2 linked regions of the Daphnia pulex genome follow. The protein of the gene in region 2 purifies or fractionates together with the protein of the main gene of each other region. This does not show direct contact. Links are inferred from orthologs where the notes say so. Each region holds a gene or a part of one and is shown on either strand. Other genes may lie near its edges. The genes, in order: FAS-associated factor 2-like and derlin-2-like.

Region 1 (6,475 bases), on a different chromosome or scaffold from region 2:
CTATTCCCGATGCTTTAATCCGCAACTGTTGTAAATTCTCCGAGAATCTCTGGGATTTTTCCTGGTCTGTAGTAAAGACAGCTCTTCGTTGTTTTTTTTTTTTTTCATTTCTCCTATTTTTTTTTTTTTTATTATTATTTTTCCCGATCATAAATTATTGTTCCGTGCGTGTGTTGTCCTTGTGAAACCAAAACTTTCCAGAGAAGAGGAAAATTAATGAAGACATTTTATGTTCATTTCTAGTAGGGCCCTTAACCTCTACACTCCCATACACCCCACATCTCCCCTCCCCCCCAGTGTTTTCCTTGAATTTGATTTTTTTTACCCAATTATTTTGTTCTTGATTGGTTCGGTTTCAACCGCTCCCCTTTCCTCATTTCCACTAAAGCTTCTTGATTCTTTTGTTCAAAATTCCTTTTTTCCTAGACATTTATATGCAAAATTTATTCAATAGCTAACAAAATAGCCGGGGCTTGTCAGGTGTCGCTCTGTGCTGTTTTGCCGGTTTTTCTGGCTTTCGGGTCAAAATTAAGGAAATAACAGAAAATATATATGGAAATTCTTTATTCTTTCTTTATGATCATGATACTTTTATGGCGGTTTAATACCGGGTCAATGTGAAATTGAAGAAAAATTTGGGGGCAAGAGTAGGTAAAGGTTTTTGTAAACACATTATTTTTTAACTCTACTGATCAAGCATCCAAGTCCAAGACGAGAAGAGCTTCAGAGGCTCCAAGACCTACTTCTGCCAACGTCGGGTAAGTATCCATGTCGGGCTGCCATGGTAACGTTCGCTTAGGGAAAGAAGTAGCCATTTCAAATTGATATGGAGAATCGGGATGAGCCAAAATAAAATAGTACAGATCCTATTGCGAAATAATTAGCAGATAAAAAATTTTATATGGTCATGGATTTAAGGTTTGAAATGGCCATGAGAAAAAATTACTTTGAGTGTGTGGATTGTTCGATGGAAGCGCCGTTCTAGTTTCTGCCCTCTAGGTAATCGGATCAGAATACGGCAAATTCCGGATTCGTCGGCAGCGGGTTCTGGCGGTATCAAGTTAATTGCTTCTTGCTTCCTCCGGATCATTTCCTACAAAGGGTGGGTAAAATTAAATCCGGATTGGATAGCGATATACTTGTCGTCCTTACCTCTTTCTTTCGTTCTTCGGCTAGTTCCATCTCTCTAATCTCCCTAAGACGTTCTTCTTCAAGCAAACGATCACGTCTCTTTTTCTCTTCCTTCTCTTGATCAGCTCGTAACGATTCGAGATAAGCTTCATCTTGCTCTAACCTTAGAGCTTGGTTAAAACTACGTTCTTCACGGTCTGCCCTTGCGGCCACTAGAAAAGCTTCATTATCTGAAATTGTGGTTCGTAAACGTTGAACTAGGGCATCTGGTTCAATAAATCCTTCAATTCTGCAAATGAAATCATGAAAAGATCGTTAAAAATCGATTTCAATATTGCAACAGAAATTTTTCCCGTGTACCTCCCAACGACGGTCATACGGAATTCCCTCTGAACAATAATGGCCAAAAATGGGTAAGTATTCTCTCGAAGCGCTTGCGAGACACGGTAGCCTTCCAAACTATTTACACTGCACGCCCACATTAAGCAATTGCTATTAATGAACTCTATGACTTGAGGGTTGCAGAGCGTCTGACGGCAAAACTTATTTGTGTCTTGGTGGTCTTTACAGTGGAGGTATGCCAACAAAAATTTAAGATCTTTTTTAGCTTCATTGAGAACCTGACTGTAGGTTCCAGGATAGAAAGTTGGGTGTTGATCTCCAAATGTTTCATTATACTCGTGAATGAAGGAAATGACATTTCCTGTTGGATCTGTGACAGCTATTGGATTAACAGAAACACAATTAGAAAGGAAATTTTGAAGGAAAGTAGAGATTTAAATACCTGGTCGGTTTTCTGGTCTGATGATCCTGAAGACAAAACGGGTTAAATGATAAAATGTAACCATCACAACTCTTAATGGAAGAGATGAGAGGAAAAACAGCCATCCTGTAAACCCATCAGGCCTTTGGTTTGGCAATGGAAAAAGGCCTGTGTTGTCATCAAGGAAGGGGTTGAAGAAGTAAGTCATTATCCTTTGAATAACTGAGTCGACAGGTTGTGTTCTAGGTGGGTTCTGTGGGAGAGGTCTGTGGACAGTAGGTTGTCCATTTTGTAGAGGAAATACAGGCATTTCCCTGGCAGGTTGAGCCATTTCTCTGGGATCTAGACCAAGATGATCATGTATGGCTGTCTCTACATCCCAGTTGTGCCTCTCTAAAATCTCCATACATTTGTCCAGATCATCGATTCCAGACAACTCCTTTATAAAGAGACATTTACTTAACACTTTTACTTTCAACATTTTATGACGAATATATACATGAATAAGTCGATTTCTTACCTGAAATTGGACTAGCTTCTCTGTATTTTGAGGACTGAGTTCACGATCTTCAAGATCCATTACAATTTATTGTAACAACTTTGGGAACTACAGTTGCCTAGCTTCTTCTTTTATTGTGTCTTTTAATCAGTAGACTTTTCTAGCAACCATCGGTGAAGAACTGAAGATGAATAATATTTCCTGGGTTCCTATCTTGGCCGCTAGGCTGCACTCAAAAACTTTTATCAACTCAACTCCTTGTCCTGCTCGCGGGGAGTTACTTTGAACATCTCCGTGTCCGTGTAAAATCTGAGATCAGTTTCCTGTTGATAAGAAAGTATCGTAAAACCCTCAATTCATCTGATTTTACACTACATGCGATCTTCATCACCCCAAATTCGTGGAGATCGCGAATTTTTGGCTACATTTGATAATTGCGCAATAGTAAGCGATTATTACTTTTCATGTACTCCAGGTTAATTTGCATACACGCCTTTGCAAAATTGAAAGTTGCATGCATACCAAGTGAGCATGGTACTTTTAAGTTAGTTTTATAATTTAAAGATTCAAATAAAACAAGTCGATTTCATCAAAATTTCCTCCCCTACTATAGTTTAGTCTTTCACAGCAATAACAATTGAAAAACAAATAAGCTTAGGAGTAAGTAAGTTTTTTATAGAAAAAAATTTAACAAAGGAAATTTGTTCTGTATTCGTAATCTGGGTTAGAAAAATAAACACATAATAACATTGCGACAAATTGATTCTTAGTAAGGGAATTCCAAGATTTTCTTGGATGAGATTTCTTTTCTTTTTTTAATTTGGAGAACTCCAAACGTTAAACAAAAATTTAGAATAATGAAGAGGCGCCGTTGAAAGTTCGTTAGTCCCAGCTCTCCTCAGCTTCGGTTGGACGTTCAGCTCCGCCACCTCCTACAGGTTTATCACCAAACTGAATATAAAAAAAAAAAAAAACAATATAACAAAAAACACCACCAGAATGTTTACAATCGAAAATTTAACTCACCCGACGCATGTCACGACTAGCGAAACCACCCTGAGTCGAAGGTGCATTGTAATCAAGACCCATTCCACCCATTCCGGACACCAACGCTTGCAAGAATGCAGGGACATCAGCATTGGACTAAAATAATATTCCATGAAAAAACCTATAACACTTCAAAACCATTTTATCTCTTTACCTTTGAAAGCAATGAAACTAGCTTGCCCGCGTTAGGACCATCTTTCTCTACATCAAAGAAACTAATCGATTGTCCAACATTACCCACACGACCAGTTCGACCAATGCGATGCACATATTCCTCAATATCACCAGGAAGGTCGTAATTAATAACGTACTTGACGCCCTCAATATCTAGAAAAATTTGATTTAACATAATTCACATTTTAAACAGAAAGAAATATACCTAATCCACGTGCAGCGACATTAGTGGCAACCAGAACATTACGTATACCAGTCCTGAATTCACGAAGTGCTGTTTCGCGTTGACTCTGAAGACGGTCACCGTGGATACTCGTAGCCTATACGAAAACTTAATAAAAATATTCAATACAATATACGAATATGTTCTACCTGGATATCGCTGTTGCACAAAAATACAGCAACGAAATCTGCCGTTTTCTTGCTGTCGACAAACACAATAGTCCTAGCTTCTCCCAATTCACGAAGGATTTCTATCAATTTGGTCCTCTTTTCATTGCGCGCACATTCGTAAAACGTTTGCTGGACGTCGGGATTAGTTCCGCCCACAGTTCCTGTAGTCACGAAAATGTAATCCTCCATGTAATTGGCAGCCAATGCTTGGACTTCCTCTGGAAAAGTGGCTGAAAACATGCAAGTGCGACGAATTCCCTATATGAGGCAGAAAATTAGGATTATTTGTTTAACAGATATCAAACCAGACTCACTTTTGGGGGCATGGTTGGATGAGCAGCAATTTTTTCAATATCGGGTCCAAATCCCATGTCGAGCATACGATCCGCTTCGTCCAAAATCAAAAACTTTACAGCGGAAAAGTCGAACACACCACGGTCAAGAAAATCCTTAAGTCGACCGGTCGTTGCCACAAGAATGTTGCAGCCAGCTTGAAGATTACTTCTTTGATTACTAGAAACAGTTCCACCGTAGATTATCACAGACTTCAACACAGAATTGTATGCAAATTTGTAGGCTTCGCGGTGAATTTGAATGGCCAACTCGCGAGTGGGTGCAAGGATCACAACTTCAGGCTTCTGAACCATGCCGTGAGAGCCACCAGCAATTCCTTGCTCTAACAAAATATTCATCACCGGAACCAAGTATGCAGCCTAAAGATGAATACATCGATTAATGAATGAACTTTAATGTTGTTGAGTATCTTAGATGCAACACTGCCATTGCAAGCCACTATCACCGACGTGCCCACTTATGTTTGTTTTTCCCTTTATCTACCCATTCGTCCCAACTCTTTGAATTGAAAGCAAAAAGGTTGTGAATTACTGTAACGAATAATAATTACCGTTTTTCCAGATCCAGTGACCGCACTGGCAATCAAATCTCTTTTAGCCAAGATAACTGCAATTGACCCCTTCTGAACGGGGGTAGGTTTAACATATCCTGAATTCTTTATGTTCTGCAGCAACAATGGACGCAAGCCAGCTTCTTCGAAAGACGTAATGTACTGTGGTATATTTTGTCCGGTCACCTAACACAAAATGTGTTAAAATAACTAAGTAGACCTAGATAAATCGGAAAATAGTTCTTGTGTCCAACCTGAAGAGCAACTTTATCAAAGTTGTGGAAGTGTTCTCCGGATGAAATCCCCTTGAACAATTCATTTTCATCGGTAGTCATATCTGGCGGTGTATATTTCTCGCGTGGTTTTCCATCCTCAGTTAGGGAATTATATTCGTCCGGGCATTCTTTTGTACTATGACCAAGTTTGTAGCACTAAAGAAAATTAAATTAATTAGTTGTACTGTTCTAATGATTAATAATGTTTTACATACATTGTTGCACTTGCTTTCCACTGTGCAATCCTTTGACATGTGTCCTTCCTCTTTACACTATTTAATAAAACATGAATTCATATAAAAATTTAGCAATACATATTACTTATGAAATATACCTTGAAGCATTTGGTATCTCCACCACCACCTGATGGGCATTCCCTTGCGATGTGTCCAGCATCTCCACACTATTTAATTCAATTAATAATTAAAAGAAAACTGAGTTGTAGTTATCGTTGAGATTTACCTTGTTACACGTACGAGGCCCACCGCCACCTCCCGTTGGGCAATCCCTTGCCATGTGTCCAGTTTCTTTACACTGAAAGAAACTTGAATTTAATATTTGATACCAGATAATAATAGCACTTGATTACCTTATGACATGCACCATCTCCACCTCCACCTCCCGATGGGCAATCCCTTGCCATGTGTCCAGGCTGTTGACACTGAAAGCAAATTCAATATAATATTTGAAATAAAAAAAATTATAACCCTTTCATACCTTACGACATGTACCATCTCCACCTCCACCACCACCTCCTGTTGGGCAATCCCTTGCCATGTGTCCAGGCTGTTGACACTGAAAGAAACTTGAATACAATATTTGATTGACCAAAAATAGTAACCTTTGCCTACCTTATTACATGTGCGATCTCCACCTCCACCACCACTATTTGGATTAGGGCATTCTCTAGACATATGTCCTTCTTCTCCACACTATATTTAAAAATTTAAACGATTACTTTTGAACATTCCAGAATTCATGTGCTTTATCATTTACCTTGTAGCAAGCACGACTGCCTCCTCCTCCAGCACCTTTGTATCCACCTCCACCTGCAGAGCTTCCAAATCCACCACCTCGTGGCTGGTCTTCCACATCATTATTGAATTGAGAGTTTTGAGTGGGTGCATCCCAGCGACCAGAGCTGGCAGGAGCAGTTGAAGCACCCCAACCATTAGAATTTCCAGTGGACTTTCCTGGAGCATCCAATCCATTCGAGCTAGAAGCAGGATTCGCTGCAGCTCCCCATTCATCATCAGAGGCTGCCCTAACAGTGCTCATCTGGCTAACTG
Region 2 (6,579 bases):
AGAAAAGCAGGTCAAGGTATAACATCAACAGGTCAGAGGCATCGAGCTGCTGCTGCTGCTGGTATACGTCTCCGAGTCCTTCAGATTCTTCTTCTTCTTCTTGTATAAGACGAAAAAAAGATTTCCCCCAAAACTCGTGGTGACCTCGTCGAGTGTAGTGATGCCGATGACCTGTCGAATTGTTTTATTTGTGTGCGACACAAAACAGAAAACAAAAAGGGGAAATAACAAGCTCTTGAGACGATATCTTTTCACACCCTCTCCCTATCTTCGTTTTTCTGTCCAAACACCATTTGGATGTTCTTCTTCTTCTTCTTCTTCTGTGGCGATCCTGTGAGATTCTCTGACTCATCGGACCTCCTTTCACTTATTTGGTTGCTGCTTATTTGTTGAGTATAGTTTAGTGTGGTAGTAGTCGTAGTAGTCGGAGTCTGTGTGTGTGTGTGTTTCATTCCGCCATGTCAAGGTCGCTGGTCACTCGCCAGAAAAAAGAAGAAAAAACCCCAACAAAATTCCAGCGAGCGGTTCGCGTGCATATAGATACTACCAAAAGAGTTCTCTCTCTCTCTTTTTCATTTTCATTTTCATCTCTCTCTCTGTCTATCTGATTCTTTTTCGTCGTCTCACACAGAACCCTGATGCGCTTTTATAACGAAAGAAAAACCTGTCGACACGAGGTGGAAATTAAAGTAAGAGAGAGAGAGAGAGAGACGTAGAGGTATAGTTTCTCTCTCGCCTGGCTCAAGGTTTCTAAAATTGGCGAAGGCGGGCCACGTTACGAAGTGTGGCGAACGAGACACACAGCTGGACTGCCATCAGGAGACTGGAGATGGACAAGGCGACAATCTCCAGGATCTGGCTCAGGCTGAGTGCCACGATCAGGATGATTGTCACAAGTGGCAGCTGGACCAGGAGTGTGGTGAACCAGAAGGTGGACAGCTCTGCCACTTGCTCGCTCAGGTTGCCAGACATGCCCAAGTAGATCCTGGTGGCTTCCGTCACACAGCAGGCAGAGACTCCAATTCCAAGAAGGAGATACGAGAACCAGCCAAAACATTGGTGCTGCCAAATGTAGCAAGAGATGATGAGTGAAATGTAAGACAATGACTTTTTCTTCGTATTATGTAAATACCTTTGCCACAAATGATGCCAGGATGATCGCCAGCCACACTGGGTAGTAGACCAAGTTGAAGTATAGTGACATTTGCAGTACCAAACTTGATTGGACATCATAAACTTTGCTCCATAAAACAATCAAACGTTTAGCATAAAGTACGAGACGCAATAGATAGAACTTGAATGATTTGAGAAGAATTGAAGTTACCTATGTCACTTTGACCCGATACGAATGAGAAATCTTGAGGTATATCCGACAGACCTGGAAATATTCTATCGCTGAAAGAATCCACAACATTTTGAACTGATTGTCTTCCCATTATTTCATCGCTTTCGACGATGGCTTTTGGCTATGAACGAAATGACAGCCGATTGTTTTGGGCATTTCAAACTGGGCGCCATGGCAACGACTCTAGCAGAACAACTCAGCTGTTTTCATTCGTGACTTTCTCCCGTCACAGTATTACATGTGCTGTGTGGTACACGTACAAACTTGTTTTGTGAATAAAATACTTGGCGATTATATTAGAGCAAGTAAGCTGTGAAAAAACTTGTAGGATCGATGGCTGGAAAATTATTTTTCATCTTTCTTGTCCAGGTTTCACAATCCAAACATGGGAAACTGGCAACTGGAAGCAGCCAAAATGGGGATGTACATGATTTTCCCAGTTGGTTGTTTCTATTACTTTAACCAGGCAGAGTATTTTGAAGATTGGATGATCAATCTGAGGAGAGAAATGTACCCTGCCGAAAGCAGGGTGAACAAAAAGATGTTTGAGGACACCATTCGCCAAATGAAGGAGAAAGAGGAACGGGAATATCTCAGACTACTTGAGGAGAAGGAAAGAAAAAATAATGCCTAAGTTGTCTGTTTCTTAATTAGATTTATGTATACAAGAGTCAATTTCAACTAAATTTATTTGATTTCTTTCGTCATCGTGCAGGTTTGATTTCTACTTATCTCTTCAATTCTAGACTATAACATTCCCAACTCCAGTATCTGCTTCCACTATCTGGTGGACTAAACATCTTTAAGCAGTTCAAAAGATCCTTGAAGAAACAAAACAAAATTGAGGACTGCGTGTGTGATCAGGGCAGTGAACTCGCTGTAGCATAAGCCTTTCCCAATGCAGCATCATCTCTGTAGCAGGTCAGGATTAGAAAATCAAATGACTCCAAACAAATAGCAAGTCTTGTTAGTTTGACAGATTTGCGACCTTCAAGTTGTGTATTTGGAAATCTTTGGCGCATTCACTACAAACAAGGCGTCGTAATGCAATCGAGTTTTTTGGACATTTATGCTTCAGATGGGAATGTATCATTTTCAAGGTTGACAACTGCTCCTTCCTATTTGTTGGCTTGAAACAAAATCGCTGTGCGCTCGGTGCAAACTTGGACGTTCAAAGAACCTTTTCACTAGAATTCGCAATCGGTTATCTCAGATTGACTTATGGTCGGTCCGCCTCCCCTTCATCTCTGAGCTAGCGAAAAAGGGAATAGTCTTGTTTATTCACATCAATAGAATATTAATTCATTATCTAGTGCGCTCCGATTTTGATTGTGTGTTCCCAAAATGTTCGAGTTGGATGGGCGAAGAACTGCACTATGGACACTACGAGTACGGTTGATTGCGTGTAAACTTGACACGGTTAAAAGATGGCCATAAAAGGAGAAAGGGGAAAGCGCTGGATATTTGTAAACGTTGCAACAAAGCAGTATGTCAATGCTAGTCGGTCATTGGTAAGCGAAAGAAAACCGGGCCACTGTGTAGAAGGAATAATGAGGGCGAACATCGACAACTGTATATTAAACAAATTTCCATGTATTTTCTTTTGCCATTTAGTAATTTTTCAAAAAGACGATTGTGTTTGTTTCTCTTTTTTTTCTTTCTTTTCCTCACTGATTTTCGTTTTCTCTCGGCTGGTCGGCGACTGCGTCTGCCACTCCCGGAGCACCAGCACCGCCCCAATCGAAACCCCCAGGACGCTCGTCAGGAGCCGGATTGTAAAGAGGGTCTTCAGTGTGCGTGTCGAACAAAAGTTTCCTAGGGGGGGAAAAGAAAAGAAACCGTGAACCCCTTGACCGATCTTTGATGTTTTTCTTTTCGAGAATGCCAAATTGTTGCATACAGTAAACGAGGCGTGGCCAAGAGTCTTCTGCCTCCAGGCTGATTAGGAAACACATCTTCCAGGAAGAAATACAAGTGACCGATGGCGATCCCGAGAATGTCCACCAATACGCTATTGCCTAAAAGAACTGAAAAAGCCACGAGAACCCAAGGCAAATATGGGGCCTATAAAAATGTCAGGATAGAGAAAAAAATTATCGGTTAATTTTCGCACAGGGTGTTTTGAATTTTGCAGTTGCTTTGTCCTATTTACTCGAAAAGGTAGAAGGCCGAAGAAATTCATCCTAACGTAAGGATTTCTCCGAGCCCAAATATAGACGAACATCGTGGTGAGCGAATGTCCAAGGAACAATAAATTTACAAACCAAGCACATATCTAAAAACATGAGAAAAGCAAATAGTTAAAAAAACTTGAAACAGGAATTCATGCAAATTTTCATAATTACCACTGTTGTGATGCAGCCAAATATGAACATGTAAACAAAATCAGCTGTTCTACCTCTGAATGAACCCTCCTCCAACATTCTACAATAGCGATAGGTAAAAATCATGTTGAACAGAAAATTGAAGCTGAATGTCCCAAAAAAGAAGAATGGAGTCAGTAGCCTCCATATCTGCAAATACAAGATTACATGATTTGGCTACCATACAAAAGCAAACCAATCCTATTACCTCAAACTTTTGAGTGATGAGCAAAGGATTGAAATACAGTTGAAAAGGTGACACCACATCCAGTTGCTGAAAAGGAAATGTTTTGCAGTCGATTACTGAGTCCCTTTCAAAGTTTCGAGTGTTACTTACCACTGCAATTGAAGTGAGCAAGCAAACAGTGGTGTATGCCCGAGTTACTGGAGGCATCAACATATACTCTTGGCGTAATGTGTGGTAAGCCATGGTGCTTTCTTGTAATTGATTTCATCAACAGTCAACTAAGATGATGTTTTATCACTTAAATTGTATACTGTTATTGTATACAAAGGACTATGACCAGCTCAAACACGAACCTCAAATAAGAAAAACAATTTATGAATACCTAGAAATACAATCAAGAAACGATTTATCCAAAAATGTAAGGATTTCGCGAAACACTACCAACCATCGTTTTTCCCAAGAGTCAAATTGGTTTGTTTATTTTTTCTTTTAACAAACCCCCCTTGGTCGACGTGGACAATTTGTAGAGGCTACAGCAGAAACGGAAATGTCAAAAAAAGGGAATTCCAAAGATCAATTTTTGGTTGCTATTGCAACGGTGTAAATGGCGCCTCTTTTGATGTAGCAGACAACTTTTTGATTATTATTCCATCCAAGATTCGAGTGATTTGAACCGTTGGAACCTCAGTTTATTTTGACTAAATTGAATTTGTTGACGTAACCCCTAGTTTTTATTTTTCATTTCGGGTCTTGGCGATAAATCATCCATCTTCTACTTTATTTATTATTGGGAGGGAGATGATGAAACTGGAAGTAGGTGCATTCAGTGCAGTCTTGCAGATAAAACAAAAACACATGGTCGAGTGTCGTAGTTCGTATATTTGGTTTGAAAAATGGTTGGCTACAATTTCCACGGTTATTGACTTTTGTGAAACTCTAAATTCTTCTTAATGTGAAAGGATATATGCAACTTGAGTAACAGTTCATGCTGGGATAGGTGATTGAGCAACCATCTTCACATCACAAAACAAGTATTTTACTCTTACATAATTATTCGATGAGTGTGTTTTCTTTTTACTATAGCCTGGTACATGTTGACCGACCACAATTCATGTATCAATTTCTAGGAACAGATTAGGTAATAAAGAATACAAAGAAAGGAATTGGCTCTCTCATAAGATAGAAAATTACATAGCAGTAGCTTTCATTATTTTATCTGTAAATTCTACTACAGCTAGTAAGTTGTGTAATGATTTGAGATGCTGAAAGGCTTTTTTGTTTCTGGCAGAGCCATTAATGTATACTGGAACAAGGCCAGCAAGATGCATACCTTCTGTAATTCTATTTTTGGGATACCCTCATTTCTCCCTCTAACTCTTCCAAAGGCCACTTTTATTGAGTCTCTAGTACACTTCCCGTTATACCACGTCGTCTCTCCCCCAATGCAAAAATTCACTACACAACTGTTGCGTTTTGCAGTAAAATCTTGAATTGTTTTTACTTTTATAGGAGCACGAAATCTAGACGAGAGAGGTACGCCAATCAACGGTCGTTGCTACCAAAAACTCTAGTGCAAGAAATTGAGTAAAGGAAACTGGGCAGACATTACTCTCTTGCCTCATCATCGCCGTGACTACTAGAAGACAATCTAGTGTCTCGTTTGACGACCAAAAGATCACGTGACAGATGTGTATCATTTTCAACCATATCGTCGCGACGCTGAACATCCGCCGCACGTGCGCAGTCATATAGAGTGAGGAACATCGGCTGCAGTCGCACCTACGCCTGGCTCTCCAATCGGTTTTTGCTGTCTGACTAGACTGGCCGAGTGATAAGTTATAGCGACGCCGTCAAACGTAAGATATCGTCGTCGTAGCCTTTTGTTATTATCCCTATATTTCGGTTTTACCTTTTCAGTTGACCTTGTGACAATTTATCACTTTGGCTTGTCCAGTTTTTTGTTTACAGATGAACGTGAATATCGGTGGCGTCATCTCTGTGGCTTTCTTCTACTGTTTGATCCTGGCCGTTGGAATTTGGGTAGGATGGAAGGAAAAGAGGAAATTTAAACAGCTACAGCGGATGGAAAGCGGTGCTAACCTGTCGGAGAACATAATGCTGGCCGGACGTGATATGGGATTGTTCGTCGGAGTCCTGACGATGACGGGTAACGATGAGTGTTGTCCCGATTCAGTATACAAGAGGGGTAGATTTGGTTTCCAACAAGCAGGTTTAAACAACAACAACTACGACAGCGACGTGGGTAGCAGGAGGTTACATCAACGGCACCTGTGAAAGCGCCTTCACTGGTGGCTTTCTAAAATGCTCTACAATGGCGATCGGATATTCCATGAGCCTCTTACTTGGTGTGTGTGTGTTTGCCTCATTAGTGTGTCTATAGTAAATCATGTTTCATCATTTTTATTCTTTGGATAAAAAGGTGGAATGTTTTTCGCTAAACCCATGCGAATGGCCCACGGAGGTCGAGGATATGTTACCATGCTCGATCCCTTCCAGGAAAAATACGGCTCACGTATTGGTGGGCTATTGTTTTTGCCGGCCCTGTGCGGGGAGATATTCTGGTCCGCTGCTATCCTGTCGGCCCTTGGTGACGCATTAGAAAAACTTTTTTAAATGTTGGCTGTCAAAATGTTTTAATTTTAGCATTATGCAATAGGATCCAT

What was found.
Region 1: the proteins of derlin-2-like (region 2) and FAS-associated factor 2-like purify together in Homo sapiens (affinity purification with mass spectrometry; 5 studies listed by BioGRID and IntAct, counting the BioPlex papers as one, with this or other methods). This does not show direct contact. The link is inferred for Daphnia pulex from reciprocal best matches to the Homo sapiens genes DERL2 and FAF2.

The regions. Positions count from the first base shown.
Region 1 is NC_060019.1:5,815,315-5,821,789, reverse strand, and holds FAS-associated factor 2-like, read right to left. Parts: upstream 2,700-6,475; 5' UTR 2,475-2,699; coding exon 2,415-2,474; intron 2,334-2,414; coding exon 1,916-2,333; intron 1,853-1,915; coding exon 1,492-1,852; intron 1,421-1,491; coding exon 1,153-1,420; intron 1,094-1,152; coding exon 947-1,093; intron 867-946; coding exon 693-866; 3' UTR 550-692; downstream 1-549. Other genes in the region: ATP-dependent RNA helicase vasa-like, read right to left, coding at 3,276-3,344, 3,420-3,536, 3,595-3,767, 3,820-3,934, 3,987-4,265, 4,322-4,720, 4,912-5,097, 5,166-5,342 and 7 more. UniProt on the Homo sapiens protein: Plays an important role in endoplasmic reticulum-associated degradation (ERAD) that mediates ubiquitin-dependent degradation of misfolded endoplasmic reticulum proteins.
Region 2 is NC_060027.1:834,606-841,184, reverse strand, and holds derlin-2-like, read right to left. Parts: upstream 4,486-6,579; 5' UTR 4,341-4,485; intron 4,278-4,340; exon of another isoform or gene 4,249-4,277; 5' UTR 4,139-4,248; coding exon 4,046-4,138; intron 3,983-4,045; coding exon 3,917-3,982; intron 3,859-3,916; coding exon 3,691-3,858; intron 3,621-3,690; coding exon 3,498-3,620; intron 3,410-3,497; coding exon 3,246-3,409; intron 3,161-3,245; coding exon 3,013-3,160; 3' UTR 2,326-3,012; downstream 1-2,325. Other genes in the region: transmembrane protein 17B-like, read right to left, coding at 751-1,062, 1,133-1,236, 1,325-1,436; high-affinity choline transporter 1-like, read left to right, coding at 5,864-6,062, 6,151-6,261, 6,336-6,503, 6,573-6,579.